Saccharomyces cerevisiae S288C: one gene and its partners. The gene in region 1 interacts genetically with each later gene. Each region holds a gene or a part of one and is shown on either strand. Other genes may lie near its edges. The genes, in order: RAD17, RAD18, MRC1 and TOF1.

What was found.
Region 2: mutations in RAD17 (region 1) and RAD18 together harm fitness more than expected from each alone (negative genetic interaction), as found in Saccharomyces cerevisiae (5 studies listed by BioGRID, with this or other methods).
Region 3: mutations in RAD17 (region 1) and MRC1 together harm fitness more than expected from each alone (negative genetic interaction), as found in Saccharomyces cerevisiae (8 studies listed by BioGRID, with this or other methods).
Region 4: mutations in RAD17 (region 1) and TOF1 together harm fitness more than expected from each alone (negative genetic interaction), as found in Saccharomyces cerevisiae (6 studies listed by BioGRID, with this or other methods).

What each region holds. Positions count from the first base shown.
Region 1 is NC_001147.6:1,025,150-1,028,579, reverse strand, and holds RAD17 (Rad17p), read right to left. Parts: upstream 1,738-3,430; coding exon 532-1,737; downstream 1-531. Other genes in the region: 40S ribosomal protein eS12 RPS12, read left to right, coding at 1-386; SCP1 (Scp1p), read right to left, coding at 1,971-2,573; YOR365C (putative flavin adenine dinucleotide transporter), read left to right, coding at 3,008-3,430. UniProt on the Saccharomyces cerevisiae protein: Component of the checkpoint clamp complex involved in the surveillance mechanism that allows the DNA repair pathways to act to restore the integrity of the DNA prior to DNA synthesis or separation of the replicated chromosomes.
Region 2 is NC_001135.5:229,586-233,478, reverse strand, and holds RAD18 (E3 ubiquitin-protein ligase RAD18), read right to left. Parts: upstream 1,980-3,893; coding exon 516-1,979; downstream 1-515. Other genes in the region: GTPase-activating protein SED4, read left to right, coding at 1-354; HCM1 (Hcm1p), read right to left, coding at 2,475-3,893. UniProt on the Saccharomyces cerevisiae protein: E3 RING-finger protein, member of the UBC2/RAD6 epistasis group. Associates to the E2 ubiquitin conjugating enzyme UBC2/RAD6 to form the UBC2-RAD18 ubiquitin ligase complex involved in postreplicative repair (PRR) of damaged DNA.
Region 3 is NC_001135.5:18,258-23,798, forward strand, and holds MRC1 (chromatin-modulating protein MRC1), read right to left. Parts: upstream 3,850-5,541; coding exon 559-3,849; downstream 1-558. Other genes in the region: VAC17 (Vac17p), read left to right, coding at 1-304; ribosome biosynthesis protein KRR1, read right to left, coding at 4,172-5,122; FYV5 (Fyv5p), read right to left, coding at 5,266-5,541; ADF1 (Adf1p), read left to right, coding at 5,327-5,541. UniProt on the Saccharomyces cerevisiae protein: Required for normal DNA replication. Phosphorylated in response to DNA replication stress. Phosphorylation allows it to mediate the activation of RAD53.
Region 4 is NC_001146.8:121,196-127,127, reverse strand, and holds TOF1 (Tof1p), read right to left. Parts: upstream 4,246-5,932; coding exon 529-4,245; downstream 1-528. Other genes in the region: guanine nucleotide exchange factor SEC2, read left to right, coding at 1-323; GOR1 (glyoxylate reductase), read left to right, coding at 4,958-5,932. UniProt on the Saccharomyces cerevisiae protein: Forms a fork protection complex (FPC) with CSM3 and which is required for chromosome segregation during meiosis and DNA damage repair. FPC coordinates leading and lagging strand synthesis and moves with the replication fork.

The DNA of each region.
Region 1 (3,430 bases):
TTGAACAAACTGCCGAAGTTACTATCGAAGATGCTTTGAAGGTTGTTTTGAGAACCGCTTTGGTTCACGATGGTCTAGCTAGAGGTTTGAGAGAATCTACCAAGGCTTTAACCAGAGGTGAAGCTTTATTGGTTGTTTTGGTCAGCTCTGTTACTGAAGCTAACATTATCAAGTTGGTTGAAGGTTTGGCTAACGACCCAGAAAACAAGGTTCCATTGATCAAGGTTGCTGATGCTAAGCAATTAGGTGAATGGGCTGGTTTGGGTAAGATCGACCGTGAAGGTAACGCCAGAAAGGTTGTCGGTGCCTCCGTTGTTGTTGTCAAGAACTGGGGTGCTGAAACTGATGAATTGTCCATGATCATGGAACACTTCTCCCAACAATAAACGGTGTGATGTTCATTAGTACTTTTTCTAGAGTTAGATCACATAATAATATATAGTTAAACTTTTATTTAATTGTAAGTTATATGTTATAAAATTACCAAATGCTGAATGAAGTTCTGCGTTTTCTGCGATGCTGGATATTGACTTAAAAAAATATAGGAATATCCTTTGTTGGATACTTGCAGTGATTCTCTTCATCCTCACTTTCCCTGTTTTTATTGTTTTCTTCTTCAGATGGTAGTTTAATTTTTTTCCCATTCAATTGCAGCAAGTTGTCATTTGAAGTTTCATTGCCTTTATCTGTACCATATCTTTTTCTTATAGTTGATTTTTTAAAACTATTACGATTGCCAAGTTCATTAGTCTCCATCAGGAGTTCTATTTCTGTCTGTGCTGCCTCATCTATGGATTCTTTTTCTAGCATGCAAACCTCAATTACTATACCGGGATAATCCTTGGGTAGCTGCAGTTGGCGAATACTACCTGGTCGATTATTTGAAGGTCTTGTAGTATCAGTGATAATGACATCGTCTGTTTGACTTAGAATATTTACACTCAATACGCCATGAACATCCATCCTGAAAAGGACTTTGCTTGCAATTTTAGTACTCTTTCTGATTTTATCAAACGAGGTGAAATCGAAGAACCCAATTACAGCAAAACCATCTATTACTGTTGTGGAATCTCCGTCAAATACTTGTAACTTCTCTAGTATGGATCTGTTACTGGGTAATTTTATTTTAGAAAATCCTAGCTGAGATTTAGATATCAGGGCAAATACATTCTCATCATTCGCCTCGGTCTTTGCATATACATAGCACTCTTTGCATCCGATTTCTTTTAGATCCTTTAAGGCTGAATGAAGGGCTTCGCCCTTAATAATTGCCTCAAAGCTTATCCTTTCTCTATCGAGTTCTAGTCCATTAGTATCAAAATCCTTAATTAAGTAGGTAGAGTACTCCACTCTCTCAGAAATGAACGAGTCTTCAAATATTAGTACAAATGGTGATCCATGTCCATCATAAGATAAAGTACACTCAACAATGTCATCCGAATTCCTGTTCATCACGCTAACGCTATCTAAGATATGATTTATTTTTACACAAAGTTTCATGTGATCCTCAGTTTCATTTCTATACGAATAAGACATAAATAGCTCCCGAGATAACAGTAGTTGGATTTTTATCACATGATTATTCTCCCTGACAAATGACAGCCCATCAGCATCAATGAATATAAGCACATCGTCTTTAGAACCAAAAGGTGTTAAACAACTTAAAGCAGTTGTGATATGTTCTAAGTGCACCGTTGAGGCAGAAAACTTGTTCGCTAGCTCACTGTTGATTCGCATAGTTGAAATCCTTCAACTACTTTGTTTCCACACCGTTCTGTGAGATTGATTTGTATAATCACATTTTTACCGGTAACGTTAACTTTTGTTACGCGTCTCTAGCCACCTTAGTGTTTATGTAGGAAAACTTTGATGGAAAACTAAAATATATCAAAGGAACTTTGGTTGCGTATATAGGGTTCTTAAATGTTTATTTATCAATTTCTGCCAGAGAAAGTGTTAATAATAATTCTCTAAACTATATCTCTCCGTTGTCCTAACACCACTCCTTCAGTAGCCTGAGATGCACCTTTCATATAACCGTATTCAAAAGTGCTCCATCCAGTACCATCTTGTAGATGTTTTGGTTTAGACTTAACCGGGGGTCTTGGCTTCTTTGTTGACAGTTGTGGTCCTAGAACTGGAAATCTATCTGTATGTTTTTTGTTGGCGTAACGAGATAGTGACTTCAACGTTTGGAAAACAATGGCAGGATCCTTTTTCTCAAAAAGATCAATTGTCTGAAACAGTTCATCTTCAGGCACACCATATTTTCTCGAAAATGATAAAAATTGGGAAATTTGATCCATTTGAACAAATGGCATTTTAGAGCTCTTCCAACTAATATGGTTAGCTTCTCCTGTGTCTGCTTCATATAAAATATTTGCCAGCTTACATAGGACTGTTCCATCTTTCAAGCATTCCAATAAGTCTCCAGGAGGAGCTATCTCTTTTAGGACAGATTTATATACCCATATTTTGATATTTTGAATTGCTTCCGGTGAAAATTTGCTTTCTCTTAGTTGTCTCAAATCTTCATCTAAGGATGTGACATCTGCCTTCTTATCGTAACTCATCGGTAAACTTTAGCTGTACGCTTACAAAGAAGTCATTTACTTAGACACTACTTATATCTTAGCTTTACTATTTGCGTTTATACTCCTTTTGGAACTCCACGGATGTCCAATTACACGTGATGAATGGGTGTTCAGCATATGTTACAACTATAATGCATGACATGATGAATATGTAGTGGTAATCCATGCTGTATTTTGTTATTACTGTAGCATGGTATTGATGCATTTTTAATTTTTATAATGCTGCTATGGAGCGATCCATATCGACGACAGCTTTAGTTCATGGCGGTCCATTTATATTTTTGTGCCCGAATTACTGACACATTTAAAAAATGATGCAGTGTCAATATTTTGGAAGGATGATGAAGCAAAGTCGTAATGCTATTTTAAATAATATTTAACCTCTCTGATTTATAGATGTAAAGAGAATAAGTATGCTTCCCATTAAAGTCTTCTCTTTATCTCGGATTTTTGTTTTGCTAGCAATCTTCCGACAAATACACGCTATTTCCATTAACAGCTCTACTTTCCAGGTTTCTAACTCTTTTACACTACTGAACAACGCATCGACTCTATTCCCAGTACCATTTGATGCATATACTAAAGAATATCTAAGGACTTCGGCTCTGTTGACTTGTGCTAAAGACTCACAGTTTTCTGCATCGTATTTCGAAGCTGCTTTTTTCCCGAGAAATAATACTCTATTCTTTAATGTTGAAGCACAAACAATTATGAGCGAAAACATAACCATCAAGGCAGAATTGATTGCATATGGTCTCAATGTTTATACCAAAGTTTTTGATCTATGTGGAATCCAAGATAATTTATTATGTCCGTTGAAGCCGGGAAATATAGAA
Region 2 (3,893 bases), on another chromosome or scaffold:
GATGCATCAGGATTTGTACAGAAAGAAATAATGATAGAAGTACAGTCATCAAAAGATTCATCTGAAGCGTTTGGGGTACGCCACAAAATCAGCGAAAATGTAAATACTCCTGTTTCCCGAATGCTTACGACGGAAATGCAGGCATCTGGTACGGTAGATGTTACCGAAGACGTCTCTCTATCTAGTGAAGTTATTTCAGCACTTAACGTGGAGATCACTTCTTTGCCTAATCCAGTGGCCCCTCCGCAAACAATTGCAGCACCTTTGAATAATAATTCGAATACAAACATTGTCAACGATGATAATGCAGTAGCAGGAACCGTAAACTACGCTGGCCTTCATGACGAATTGTGAATAACGAAATAATATATATTAATGTTAAATATGATTACATAGCTTTGTGCACATATCTCTATGTCATCTTTTATGCATTTATATTTTGCCCATTTTTAAATAAATTATTAATTAACAAATGTGCACAAGCTAACAAACAGGCCTGATTACATATACACACCTTAATTGTTACCGGGTGGGTCTTTACTATATTCATTCAAGTCCATTAATTCTCTTGATAAGTCAGCATCAGTTGAATCTTCGTTAGGCAAATTTCTTTCACCAGCAACTCTATCTTCGTTGATAACAGTGTCCTGATCCTTCTCCATTTGCTGATCCTCGGTTCCCTGGTCACTTTGAACTTTTTCAACACCATCTCCATCATTAGAATGTCCCACTGAACCTGAACTGTCCGATGAACCTGTTTTTATTTTCATTTTTGCTTCCCTGATAAGCCTAGCAAAATCCTTCCGAAACATAACCATCCATCCTTTCCTATTAAATTTATCGTTTTTGAAATTTTCAAGTAATTTCCTATATGAAGAAGATTTCCCATTACTCTTCATTATCATTAATTTAGAAATTCCACCCTTGTTGCTACTATTTTGGGGGGTTTTATTGTGTGAAACATCCCAGCTTAACAACTGTCTTTTTAGTTCAGCTTCATCAACAGGTTCTAGAGAATCACAAAAATTAGAATTCCAAAGCATTTCGTAGTGATTGTATCTTTTAATCATGTTTTGCCTAGTACCATTAGTTGACAGTCCCAACGATGACAGTTTTTGTTTTATTTGGGATTGAGTCATAGACGTAAAATTGATCTTCGGCAATCTTTGGTGTTCTGCACTCATCATTGAGTTTAAATACTTATCCACATGTGAGGTCTCACCACATGAGCTTTTGTCGACTTCTGGAGTTCGTACCTTGAATCTGGATGAACTTTTGTTATGTGGATTTGACTCTGTAGGGAAAGTGGTAGAAATTTTTGGTTTTTTGCCTAGTGATTGTAAAGTTAGGCATTCATCCAAATGTGTTTTTTCAAGGGCTTTAAGAGGATAAAATTGTTGACATATGGGGCACTGGGCCATTTGTTCATTTGGCTTTGATTTTTTCTTGATACGTTCACTTCTGAACATTGCAAAATTCCTTTTGGATGGTTTGGAACTCAGTGGTAATATATCAGTCATGGATCTTTTGGCAAGTTTTCTTTCACTTGTTGCAACAATTTGCAAGTCATCATCAGCGGCATTTACACTGTCACTTTCAGACTCTGATATGAGTTCTATCCATGAAGAATTTTCAGGACCTGGTACTTCCTCATTCTCAGGGACAGGGGTAGGCTTCGGTATCCTTAGTGCATCTAGTAAGGAAGATCGTAGGGATGTATAACTTTGAATTATTTCACTGACCAGGAACTCACTTCTCAGCAAGGACTCTCTGAACTCGAAAAGGCAGAGAGGACAATTTGGTTGGTTATTCAAATGTGTTCTAATACAAAGGGAACAAAATGTATGGCCACAAGGTGTTAAGACGGGGACTTTTAGAAAATCTTTACAAATGTGACATCTCAAAAGTGTATCCAATTGGTACAGGCTCGGTATTGAAGTAGTCGTGAAGTCGCTTGCAGTGGTTATTTGGTGGTCCATGAGTAGTAAAAATGGCCTTTTCTTAGTAGCTGTGATGCTCACTTGCGGATGGTTTTTCTTCTAATGTGGCATTGCTCAAGTGGTACTTAGTTTTTCACTTTCTATTGAAAAATGCAAGGCAACGGGGCAAGTAAAAATAAAAGAGATCAAAAAGGTAAGTGAAGTGAATGGAAACTTCAGCTAAATACTGTATTAAAAATCCGTAAGGATCAAAAATAAAGATATGTAAAATATAAAACTTAGAAAAAAAATTTGTATCATTTTTGTTATGATTACAATTTTTTCCTGCCTCTTCTGCAATTGATTATACCATAGAAGAGCGGGAAAAGAAGTTAGTTGACCCGACAATACAATAAGATTAAAAAGAAAATGCTATGTGATATGATAACTCCAGCCCAGTTTAGGACTCATCCAACCGTTTGCGATGAATCCATCAGATTAAGAATAATTAGTTTTCGGTGAGGAAAAGAAAATGAAAAAAAAAAAAAAAAAAAGTCAATTCTTTTCATTACCGCTATCGTTGGAAGGGTGATTATGATAAGGATGATGTTTTTGATTGCTATCCGTAGTATTGTTACCATCAGAAATCTTTTCAGTTGCGCGCTTCCAAACAGAATAAACATCCACGCCAAACAGCCCGCTTGAAGCAAATTTGGAATTCGTTGCGCTTGTGAGGACATCGGGTGCAGAGGACTTTCTTGGTGAAATTTGGGTTTCCAAAGTGCCCCCCGGCGTCGTGATATACCTGATTGGAGTCTCTATAGCTCTAAATAGCGGAGAACAGTACAAATCTTCAAAAAGGTGTGAAGGAGTCTGCCATTTCCTCAAAATCGAGTTACCGTCCTTAGGTGTGCTTATCAACCGCGATGGGGTTTTCTCTAAGCCATCGGAATGCCTCATCTTGGGTGTTTTAAGTAAGTCCGAACCATGAGAGGAAGGTGGAGGTGGAAGTTGAGAATTGGAATATGATTGCTGAGATTGTGGTTTCGACATGAGCGCAAGATTTTTCTGATCGTACAGCTTCAATGGGGAATACGGAAGTGGGTCGAGTAGAGAACCAGCCCCTACATTACTTCGAAGTGGAGATAAATCTTCAAAATTTGAATTGAATGAGGTGAAATATTTTCTGAAATTCTGAGGAGACTTTGCGCTAGTTATAGGGAGTGTATTAAATCTATTTGCCTGGGTGATATTATTGTTTTTCACACCCGCCTGGAAATGATCTTTGGCATTCACCAGCGACGGTAAGCCTAAAGAAGTATGATATTTCTTCATGACATAAGGAGGTTCCAAGGAATCTATATTGTTGACATCGTTTTCTATCATGTTCCGCATCGATTCTAGGTTTTCGTGAGGGTTCAGTACACTGTTGTCTGTTTTCAATTGCGGTATGTGATGTAACTGGGAAACTCTCAGTATAGGGGAGGAGTTCAATTGAATTTCAATGGAAGGGAATTTCCCTGCTTCCTCTCTTTCTTCCTCGTCAGGAAGATCATCATTGCCTTCTCCACTCTCAACTTGTTCTAATTCATCAAGTGTAGAATCTATTTCAAAATACTTCCCAATGTCTTGTAAGGAGTCCTTTACAAATTCATAACCACGATTTTCACCTTTGAAAAATTTTGTTTCGGCACCCGGTCTGACCTCCCAGAAATGACCCTTACCATCGCAGGACTTTTCAGTCTTGATGAACGCATCATTTAAAGACAAGTTATGTCTTATTGAATTTTGCCAACTAGCATCTTTCTGCTTGTAATAAGGGAAGTGAACGTGGATCCAATGATATATCTGGGATAGCGTTAGCTTTCCCTCCTGAGATTGCAAAATGGCCAAGCAAATCAAAGTTGCATACGAATATGGAGGTTTCTTGGCGAGTTCACCATTTATTCTTCTTCTTTCCAAAGATTGAAGAAT
Region 3 (5,541 bases), on another chromosome or scaffold:
TCGTAATGGTCCTCGTATTTCAAGTTCTAAGGCGTTGTTATCATCATTCATTGCACGATCAGATACACATACGGTAAAAGAGAACAACACAAATCTTAAGCATGCATCTTTTATGGATAAGTTTAATTCATCGTTAAGCACAATATCAGAATCTTTTCAAAGTAAGAGGGGGAGAAAGAATAAGGGCATGAATGAAGAACGAATATCAAATCATAATGTAGCACAGGAACAAAAAAATAATATGGATATAAGCGTCTCTATAGAAGAATTGCAAGATGCTTTGAATACAGAACTGCTGTTTTAATTAATGCCTCCTTTACCTAACCTACTCTTCTTTTGCTCCAAATGTTTATTCTTTTTTTTTTTATTCAGAATATCTTCAAGTTTTTTTGTATCTTTTTGTATTATTATTAAACTTCTTTATAATATTTGTCTTATAAAATCCTATCATAACATGACTATGGCTTGGCCTAGACTCGGGTGCCATCTTTTTTAATGCGACTACTTCAAGACAGCTTCTGGAGTTCAATCAACTTCTTCGGAAAAGATAAAAAACCACTAATTATCAAAGCTATCTTGTCCGCTTTCAAAAAGTTTATTCGATTTTGTTTTCGTTTTCATTTTCATTTTTTTATTATGATGGTCATGGTGGTAGCGGTGGCTCCCTTCAGTTTTCCTCTTTGGTGCTATTAATTTTCTCGTTTTCCCCATATATGTGATAGAAGCTTTTGAACTCCCCACTGTCTTGTAAGACTTTAGAATCTTGACTGTCTTGTTACCTTCTTTAAACTTATCATTTATGTCTGTTCTGGACGCAAAGGATTTGATTATTGATGGATGTTTGAAAACGCCAACTAGTGATGTATCTCCATTTTCCACCTCATCTTCATCCTCTGGGCGCTTTTCTAAGTCAATTATTGTGTTTACTGTTTTTGAAGTGGTCGAATCAGTTTGAGAATTTGTGAATGACTTTATCGAACTATTCTGTTTTAGGGTATATAAATCTTCAATTGCTTCATCATTGCCATGTTGTATCCTTGATAGCTCCTTATCCGTTTCAAAATCCTCATAATTATTACTTTTTAGGAAGGATAAGCTTTTCTGCACAAAGTCTTCAGATATGATAACCTTTTTGTTCTTTTGATCTACAGGTTTCTGTTCATTATTTCCCGTATTATCACCTACATTAATGCTATTGTCCTGAGTATCTAGGTCAGTAGCCGTACTTGTAATGTCTAGGTTATATTCCTCTTCAGCCCCGAAGGGGTTTTTATATTCGATAATATCTTCCACCATACTTTCAAAAAATGCGCTCGACTTTGGGTTTTTAACAAGCTTTGCATCATCGCCAATTTCTAATCTCCTTTTTCTCATCAATTCTCTCCTTTTGAGACGATATTGTTGTAGTACGTCGTCTTCATCATCATCACTTAGTTCTAGCTCTAAGCTATTTTTTGCTCTTTTATTACGAAATCCTCCATTTTTAATGTCATAAAGAATTTTGTTTATCATTTTGATATCCATTTCCTTATTTTCTGCGGCAAGCATTTCTCTGATTTCATGAGGATTGAAATTGTTCTTGGAATAATCATCGATCATTTTTTCTAGGTCAGAATCATAGTCGTCAGATCCTTCTCCATCTGCACCACCGATACCATGCCATTCATCCTCGGATTCTTCGGCTTCCATTTCAAAGAAGTTTGTGACACCTCTTTTCTTCAACTCTTTTATCTTAGCCTCGTGCTCCTTTTCTTTCTGTTTTAGTTGCAATTTCTCTTTGTCAATCAGCTGACGGCGAATTGCTTCATCAGCTTCTTCATTGACGTATACATCATCTTTGACTTCATTTTCGATTGTATTTCTTTCGGCCATCACCTCTTCAATGTTTTGTGTATCTAGAACATTGGTTTCTTGAAATTTGTCGGTATCCTCTCCGATATTATCACCGTAATGGCCCAGATTAATGGCGATCCTTTTCGGTAGACTTTCATCAGCTTTCTCTTTGGGTTTGGCTTCGACTTCGGTATCAGAGTCTGATTCGTTAATGATATGTTTCACGTGGTGGGATTTTTTTTGCTTTAGAATAATTTCATCATCTTCCTTTTCACTATCGGATTCTCTACGATTGTCATTTTCACTACCAGATGATTCATAATCGGCAATTTCATTACCACTCAATGCAAATCCAGAAGACTCTGACCCTGAGTCAGAACCGGAATCATGGGCGTTCAATTGAAAGTCATTTTCTTCAAGTTTTTCCCTTCTCTTCTCTTTTTGTCTGATTCTTTTATTTCTAAGAATTTCTTGTTCTAGCAAGTTCTCTACTATTTCCTTTTCTTTGGCCATATCCTCCAGCTTCAGACCTTTCGTTTCAATCACTTCTTTCTGATGATCCAGAATTTGTTTCCTGCTAGCTTTCCTTAAGGTATTTAATAGTACATTATGATCAACTTTTGGGTCTTTACTTTTATTCGGCCTTTGAGACAACTTTTGATTTTGTTTAGAGAGTCTTGCCTTCAGGTTTAATATAGTCGCCTTTGATAACTGAGAGATTGGCAAAACGCTTTCATCTTTGGATAATTTAATGCTATCCATATCATCATCTCCATATTCGTCACTGTCGCTGTCGAGGTCCAGTGTTATGCATTTCGAGGAGTCAATTTCCCGTTTCAAATTATTAGCATAGGAGCTCAATAGTGGAACCCTTTTCTCATTTATTCTTGTCTCATCAGTTAGATTTAATTCAACACTTTTGTTCTCATGCAGTTCATCGTCATTCTGTACTGGTTTTGGATGTGCATTTTCCAGCTTTATATCATCGTCCTCATTTGAGGACGAATCGTCAAAATCAGCAAGAAAAGACTCTTTAGAAAAAAATTTTTTGGTTGGTATTGGCTTTTGCGGTTTTTTGTATTCGACATTTCTAGCTTTTTCCCTTTTAGAATCTTCTGAAGCCAATTCGCTTTGTATTTCCCGAATTTTTAATGTGTGTGGTACTTCATCTTGAAGTGTTTGTGCGACTGTATCTATTTGGGTTTTCTGTTCCTGATGCGTAGCCTGTGGAATACCAATTGCTTGTGTCTTATCCTCATCATGCGCAGTCTGTGGTGGTACATCCATTTGGGTGTCAGGACCACGATTTTGAATGGACTGAAATAAAGGACTAGTTCCAATAAGTTCCGTTGGAATTATAGGAATTTTCGGCGACAGAGCATTAGAATGATTGCTGGAAGTCGTAATTATTTGGGATTGTGGTTCAATTGATTTTATAGGCTGAGTTTGTGAGGTTGCACCGCTGCTATCTATACGCTGTGTAGCCCCTGGCCGTCCTGTCGTGAGAGGTGTTTTCAGCGCTTGAGAAGTTTCGTTGACGAGACCATCTTCTTTGATTAATTGGGTGGGTTTCCCGTCATTAACGGAATGGATAGGTACGTTAAACACCTTGTCTTGTTGGATGCTGACAGGTATTCTTTGCGTCTGCGTGAATGAAGAAGAGACATTTTTCTCACTGTAACTATTATCTTTAACTTCGGATTTCTCCAGCTCTTCACCACCATCGTAAAGATTAGAGATTAATTGAGTTGGTAACGAATTCTCACTCCTATCTTTTCCATTATTGTGATTCTGTTCGGGTGCTTTCTTGCCTTCTAATCTGTTCTTAACACGATTTAATGTGGCATTGGCAAATAAAAACCCGTTCCCAGTCAACTCTGGCGGATTGTCTATGTCATTGGGCCCATTTCCATTAGTATTATCGTTCTCATCTAGTATGGGAACAGCAACTTTTTTGTAGGTGGTAGTTCTCTTCTTTGCAGTCAACGAGGACAAAGCATGCAAGGCATCATCCATCACTAAAATATTTGGTGATAAGTTCAAAAGCGAATAACGAACTTCCTTAGTTGTTTGTCTGTTCTTGGTTTTTTTCCAACATAATGTGTTTGAAATGCTATTGAAGCAAACGCGTTTTACGCATTCTATCTCTTCATGACGCGTCGAAGAAGGATAAGGAAAATTTCAAGTATTGATGTATATCTCTCTGCATATGAGAGCCAGTAGAGTTGGTGTCCTAGTAAGAATTTCTTTCACTTTACAAACATATCTAAGTAAACGAAATGTGTGTGTGTTTCTATATATATATAGACATATATGAAGGATTCCGTAGCGGTGTAAACTAATTTTGGTTTGGCTTGTATGCTTCTTCTTCCGGAGCTATGAAATCTTTTGCTCTCTCTTCCTGCCTTTCGATTTCTCTTTCCATTTGCTTTTCCTTTTGCTCATTTAATTTCTTCATTTGCTTTTCTCTCTTGCTTAAGAAATACTCACCACTTTCAATTTCCAAATCAACCTTTCTAGGCAATTGGGCAGGAGGAAATGGAGTATAGACCTTCTTTTCGACGTTTCTGATCTTCTTGGGTTTCTTTCTGGCCACATTCCTCTTCTTAAACATGGGCAAGAATCTTGACCAATCTTCATTGGCTAACTCTGGCCTTTTTGCCAATTCTCTTTTTATCATTAATTCCTTGATATGATAGATAGGGTGAATATTTTTCATACAATCTTCTACTACTCGACGGACCTCCTTCAAGCCCTTGAAGGGACCCATGGCACTTACTGTGTTACCTTGTACTAGAATGTAACATTTAGTTAGAAGTTCCAAAGCCTTTAAAGTATTACCGTTAGGGCCTACAAGACGTTGTCTTCTCTTGACAAACCTTTCTTTGTTAGTAACGAAATTACCAATTTTAATAACGTCGCATGCCATGTCATCTTGTAGGATCTTAACGGCTTGCGGGAAAGGAACGGATCTCGCCAATAATTTGATCAAATCTCTGGCTTTCAAAATGATAGCGGGATCGTATGTTTTTCTAGTTGTTTTTACTGTCATAGAACCTTCGACTAAATCTAGAACACACGCTATGTTGTGTTTGTCTAGAGCCCTTGTTACATCATTCCAAATCGTCTTCAAGTAACTTTCTCTGTATTTAGGAAACAAAGTCATAAAACTGGACTCTTCAGCAAAAGGTTGACCGGATGCGTTATCCTCTTCCTTAAACTCCTCTATCTTCCATTTATCAATATCATCCGTATCCCAAGGTTTATCTCTGTTATGTGTAGACACCATCGTTTGCCAATTTGGATATTTGTGTGACCCTTTTGTTTGCTGTCTACTTTACAATAGTTAACCTCATCATCTCTTTTTTTTGAAAATTTTCATATCTCATCGCTAAAAGAATTAGAAATATAAGGAAAAAAAAATTTTCGTTTTCAGATGTGCAAGCCTGCTATAATAAGGTACAATAACTCAAGGGCATTTAGCAAGGAAAAAATGGGCAAGTGTAGCATGAAAAAGAAAGGTGTGGGCAAGAATGTTGGTGTTGGCAAGAAAGTACAAAAAAAGAGGTCGATCAGCACCGCTGAAAGGAAGAGAACAAAGTTACAAGTGGAAAAGTTAAACAAAAGTAGTGAAACAATGATACCGACGCTGCTGCGGGAGGCAAGTACACAAGAGCCAGCTAAACTGAAAGCTGAGACTACTTTGAA
Region 4 (5,932 bases), on another chromosome or scaffold:
AAAAGGCTCCTCAACGCAAGATACAAAAGAAGAAGTTACTCCAAGATTTGGATGATTTAGAAGAGCAATTTAGAGAAGAAAGCGCAATTGATCAGACTGAATTTGAAAACGCTGAGTCTAATGTAAAACAAAATATATCCTCGAAGAGGGCATCTTCTGGAGACGAGAACTCTAAGAAGGATAATAATGAAAAAACTTTAAAGACAAACTTGACGATAGGCGACAAAACCCAAGAACAAATAGGGGAAAATAGTCCTAGTAGCGGATTGCATGCGTCTTCAAGCAATGATGACAATTTCGATGATGCCCAGGAACAGCAATAAATTATATAATATTTAATTTTATGTGTCCTAATGGACATTTGAGTTCCTTAAGATGTTCAACAACTTAGAAAAATATAGGTAATGATAAAGAATGAATCGCATGTATTGTTTTAATATTATGTCAATACTTTGAACTTAAAAACAGAGTAAAGAAGTGGTTCTAAAATTACACGTATTAAAGGGATTAATTACTACATATTCATTCTCAATCATCACTATCACCTTGGCTCAAAACAACTCTAGACTTTTTGCCAAAAAGGCGGATGGCCTCTTCATCTTCATCGCTTTCATCGGCTGCACTCGCTTCCAAAGAACGCTTTGTAGATTCTTTTCTGCTATACACCTCAGATTGGAACATATTTTGCGAATTTGATGGCTGTGATGAGCCCAAACTATTTCTTGATTCCGAGTTGACATCGTCATCAGAGAGTTGATTATTATTGTTATTATTTACATCGAAAATAGACATTTCAGATGCCACGTGGCTTGCTAAAGAAATGAGGCTTTTATCTGGCGCAAAGGAACTACTTTCTGTAGCTCTTATGCTTTCAATACTTGGTATGGATCCACCAAACAAGCTCGTATAATCTCCTGTCACAACACCCCCATTATTCATCCTTTCCGCGGCAAATTTGGCAAACTGGATATATCTATCCTCGGTCAACTGACCATTGTTTTTATCTAGTAACCATCTCATATATGTTTCGTTTTCAAAAAATATAGGGTTCATCAAATCCTCGTCATCTTCTGAATCACTAATAAACTCTTTACTGAATACGCCATGGCGTTCTCTAACGGTCTGAGGTCGTTCATCATCCTGGTCGCCAAACATTGGCAAATTAGTCTTGGCTTCTCCTTTCCTACGCTTCCTCTTATCTTTTTTTTTGGATCTCGCAATCCCTTTACTGAATTTGGTACCTTTAAGTTTATCTGATGCATTGTTATCTAAATCCTTGAAGTATGCTGCGTCGCTTTTCGATAAAATTTGATCATCTGGAACAATGTAGGGATCGTTGTAATCATAATCATCGTCTCCTTCCCATCCATCTTGTTCATTGTGAGAAAAACTATCCTTTTCTGAACGAACTCGTAGAAGATAGGAAGAAGAAGGCAGTCCGTTTGGAGTTTCAAATGGTGTTGATAAGTATTTTTTCACTAGTTCACAAGAAACAGTCAGGTCAGAAACTTCAACAGTCCCCGGTAAAAAACAAGGTTCATTGATTTTACGTGGAATGGAGTATCCTATCAGCAACAATAAAGCCCTGTAGTCCTTATCTTTAAAAATAGGGTCGTTGTTGAGTACACCTGTCAATGTGAAATATTCATTGGGTGGATTAACTGTTTCTTTCCCAGCATTAACATTTACGGTTAGCCACGACTTAAAAATATCTAGTGTGTGGGTTATATGCTTGAGCAGTTGGTCCAATAGTTCAGTTTTTCCATCATCAAGTAATGTGGAAACTAAAACACCATATTTCATATCCAACAAAATCGAAGGTGGTAAGGCTTCTTCATCGGGAATTGGTTTGAACTGTGATGCAGGAGCGGCATACATTGATTCATTATTAAGTACATTATATTCACCATATCTTTGGTAAAATCCTACTTCACTATTGTGTAATGGCGGGAAAAGTAATCCAACAAACCAAGCAGGTGATTTCTTTAACCTTTTCTTCAACCTGGCGAGGAAGTAGTCTGAAAATTGACTCACATATTTCCTTGAACGAGACATTCTATCTAATCCGTCAGGTGAAAGCATTTCTCTTAATAATATTATCAAATCAAATCTAAATAACAATGCCTGTTCTTTTGCCTGAACAAATACTCTATGGAAAAAGGAAAATACTTTTTTAATGGAATCGTCCTCAAGCTCACGAAATCTTTCAAGGAAATTAATGTACGTTTCTATTACCGGTTCTGTCATATAGTTGGCTTGCACCTTTTGAAAATTGACTTCTATACTTCTTAAAGAAGAGGTTAGAATATCAAGCGCTTCATCTCTATCTACATTTTCTTCTTCTATCAATTTAGTAATATCACCTTCTGAAATATTAAACTTTTTTTGCCGTCTTGATTTGCCTTCAATAACTAATGTTTTATCGTCAGAGTATTGCTCTAATACTTTCAATACCGAGTGTGTTAGTTCAATGCAACTTTTCATGAATTGGAGGGAGTATTTGGAACCAATCTTCGGCAGATTTGACAGTAATTGTATTCTCTCGTCACTGAAAAGCCTACTTACAATGAATTCTATATCGGTCGAATCCTCTTCTTGAGCGGCCTTTGTACGGGAAACGAGGTTCAACAGTTCATTAAATGCAATCATACCAGCATGTGTCACTGTCCAATTTTTCAGGTCATATGCGCTTCTTAAAAGAGAAGACACTAGAATGAAAGTCACCTCTTTCAAGGCTTCTGAAACTTGCTTTATATCTGCGGAATTGTCGATTTTGGACCTCAACAACTGGTATTTAACAAACCATGCAAAGAAAAGTAAATATTCGACTTGCTCCAAAGTTACCATCCTATCCTGCTCAGTTGTGAAGTAGTTCGTCACACTATGCAACAAGATGTTAAAGCCGGAATCTATAAAGTTGTTGATGAATTCTTTGAAATGTTTACCATTTGATTCGGTGAAAAAAATAGCTTTACCGGTTTGTGAATTCAAGAGACTATTCGGTAAGCCCTCAGCTGCGACAGATTGATGCTTTTTAATTATTCTTTTATTCCATTTTTTGCTGTCATCTAGTTTTTGGAGCGCTATTTTTTCATCTACGAGAGCTTGGCTACCAGAAACAGTTAACCTAGTTTTATCTGGTGTTTGTATAGATAAAAGACCACCAAATCTGGAGTGTCTTGCAGATGTATGCTTGATAACGTTTTTTCTCATTTGGTGTTCCTTTTGTAATAACTTCGATAGTTCAAAACCTGCACTTGTAACAATGTTATTAGCAGAGGAGCTCTCATTTTTATTTACCACCTTTGAATGTGTCCCGGTTTCGAACTGTCGAGGGAATAGCAGTTCTTGGTTAACATCTTTAGTGAAGTAGAACATAATCTCCAACAGTGGGATATTGATAAAGTCCTGGTCAAACTCTTTTGATAAGGAGCTGGTCAGCGTTAAGAGGAAACCGAATACCTTGTTTTTATGGAATGAGGAAATAACCGTATTTAAAGAGATGTCATCCATAGAGACGTTTGGTGGCAAAGTATCGATAGATGTGATACCTTTCTTAGGCATGCTTTTCTTAGTATTGATAGTAAATTCACCGGGTTCTATAGCAATGACATTTCTGAAAAAATTCAAAACCAATTTGAGAACCATATTGTCCCTAGGAGTTCTTGATAATCGGTCGATTTTGATAACATCCAGAGCCAATCTAATGGCAGCTCTTAACACTTTACCACTTTCCATAGACAGAATCGTTTTCTTGTATACCAATTGATGCTTCTTTAGCTCACCATAGAGAGTAATTTGATTTGATGAAGACTGTTCAGTTACAATTAAAGGCCAAGTCATAAGGACCAATAGTTGTAGACAATTTAGCGCAATTTTATCGTAATAAGCTTTGTTTCTAAACTCTTCATGGTCTGGGTTGTTCTTTGCAAGCTTTGCTGCAAGAGAACATTTGTTTTCCCAATCTATCAGAATAGGTAACAGATCATCCGTCAAGATGCGATATTCAGCTACTGCCATTGCCACATCCCATCTTTTCTGCTGGTCATCCACTAGTTTAAACCATCTTTTCAGATCTTTTAAGCACGCCAAACAGTCATCGCCAAGCTTATAAGGGGGTGGGTCTATCTGGGAAGTATAATCCGGCCCACCGATGGCAGTTGCCAATAAAGCAATTCTTGCTCTAAGTACCGTCAGAGAGAAATCAGCCGCATTTGTAGTGCCTTGTTGCAAATCAGCAGACATAGTGTGCGCCCTCCTATATTAAAGATACACTAAACCCCACAAGCTAGATGGTATTATCATATGTGAGGCGACTTACGAACCATATCTCATTTGAAAAATCCTTAATACTCATTTTAATTTTTCATCGTAAACGCGTAATGCGGCAGTAAACGCGTCAAAGTAGCATAATGGAAGGGCCATTTCCACAGGGAAGCAATTCATACAGGGCACTACCCAGTTGTGATAGTAACACAGAACAGCTTCCTAAAGCAAACGGTAGGGATGCCTATATACAGGACAACTACTGGTTATTTCGCTGACTTGATATGAGAAGTGGCAGTGAAAACCAGCGTTATGAACGGTGAAACCGAGCGGGGATGGATGAAAAGTACGTATAACTCTGTATACACCTCACTTGGCTTCATAATGTGGTTCCGCCATCTGATTGCGTTGCTGTGGTCTTCAGAATTCCTGAAGGACGACGCAATTAGCTCTAGAGCTTCTCCAGGCATTTATTACGTAGGACCGAGAGCGGACTTAAAATCTGCAAAAGTCTTGGCAGGGGGCGGGGATAACAAGGCAATCTTATCCCATTTTTCACTAATCTCGAGCATATAAAAAGTAAATTCTATTGGCCTTGTTGTTACGTTAGGGAAATCCTTCTACATGATTATTGCTCTACAATACCGAAGTATTAACAATACATAAACGAGCAAGAAGAGGAGAAGAGAATATGAGTAAGAAACCAATTGTTTTGAAATTAGGAAAGGATGCCTTTGGTGACCAAGCCTGGGGGGAATTGGAAAAGATTGCGGATGTAATTACCATCCCTGAATCCACCACTAGAGAACAGTTTTTGCGGGAGGTAAAAGACCCACAAAATAAGCTCTCCCAAGTACAAGTCATTACTAGAACAGCAAGGAGTGTGAAAAACACCGGTAGATTTGATGAAGAGCTTGCTCTTGCTTTGCCCTCCTCCGTAGTGGCTGTATGTCATACTGGTGCTGGTTATGACCAAATTGATGTTGAGCCATTCAAGAAAAGGCACATCCAGGTTGCCAATGTTCCTGATTTAGTTAGCAATGCTACCGCTGATACGCATGTATTTTTGCTATTGGGTGCCCTAAGAAACTTCGGTATTGGTAACAGAAGGTTGATCGAGGGAAACTGGCCGGAGGCAGGACCCGCATGTGGTTCTCCCTTTGGATACGACCCTGAAGGGAAAACAGTTGGTATACTGGGTCTAGGTAGGATTGGTCGTTGTATTTTAGAGAGATTGAAGCCGTTTGGGTTCGAGAATTTCATATATCATAACAGACACCAGCTTCCTTCCGAAGAAGAGCATGGTTGTGAATATGTAGGATTCGAGGAGTTTTTGAAGCGTTCTGATATAGTATCTGTAAACGTCCCACTGAACCACAATACTCACCATCTAATCAATGCAGAGACTATTGAAAAAATGAAAGATGGTGTAGTTATTGTTAACACAGCGCGTGGTGCCGTGATAGACGAACAAGCCATGACTGATGCTTTGCGTTCTGGAAAGATTAGAAGTGCTGGTTTGGACGTTTTCGAATATGAGCCAAAAATATCCAAAGAGTTATTATCGATGTCCCAAGTCTTAGGACTGCCTCATATGGGCACACATAGTGTAGAAACAAGAAAGAAAATGGAAGAACTGGTCGTTGAAAATGCAAAGAATGTGATA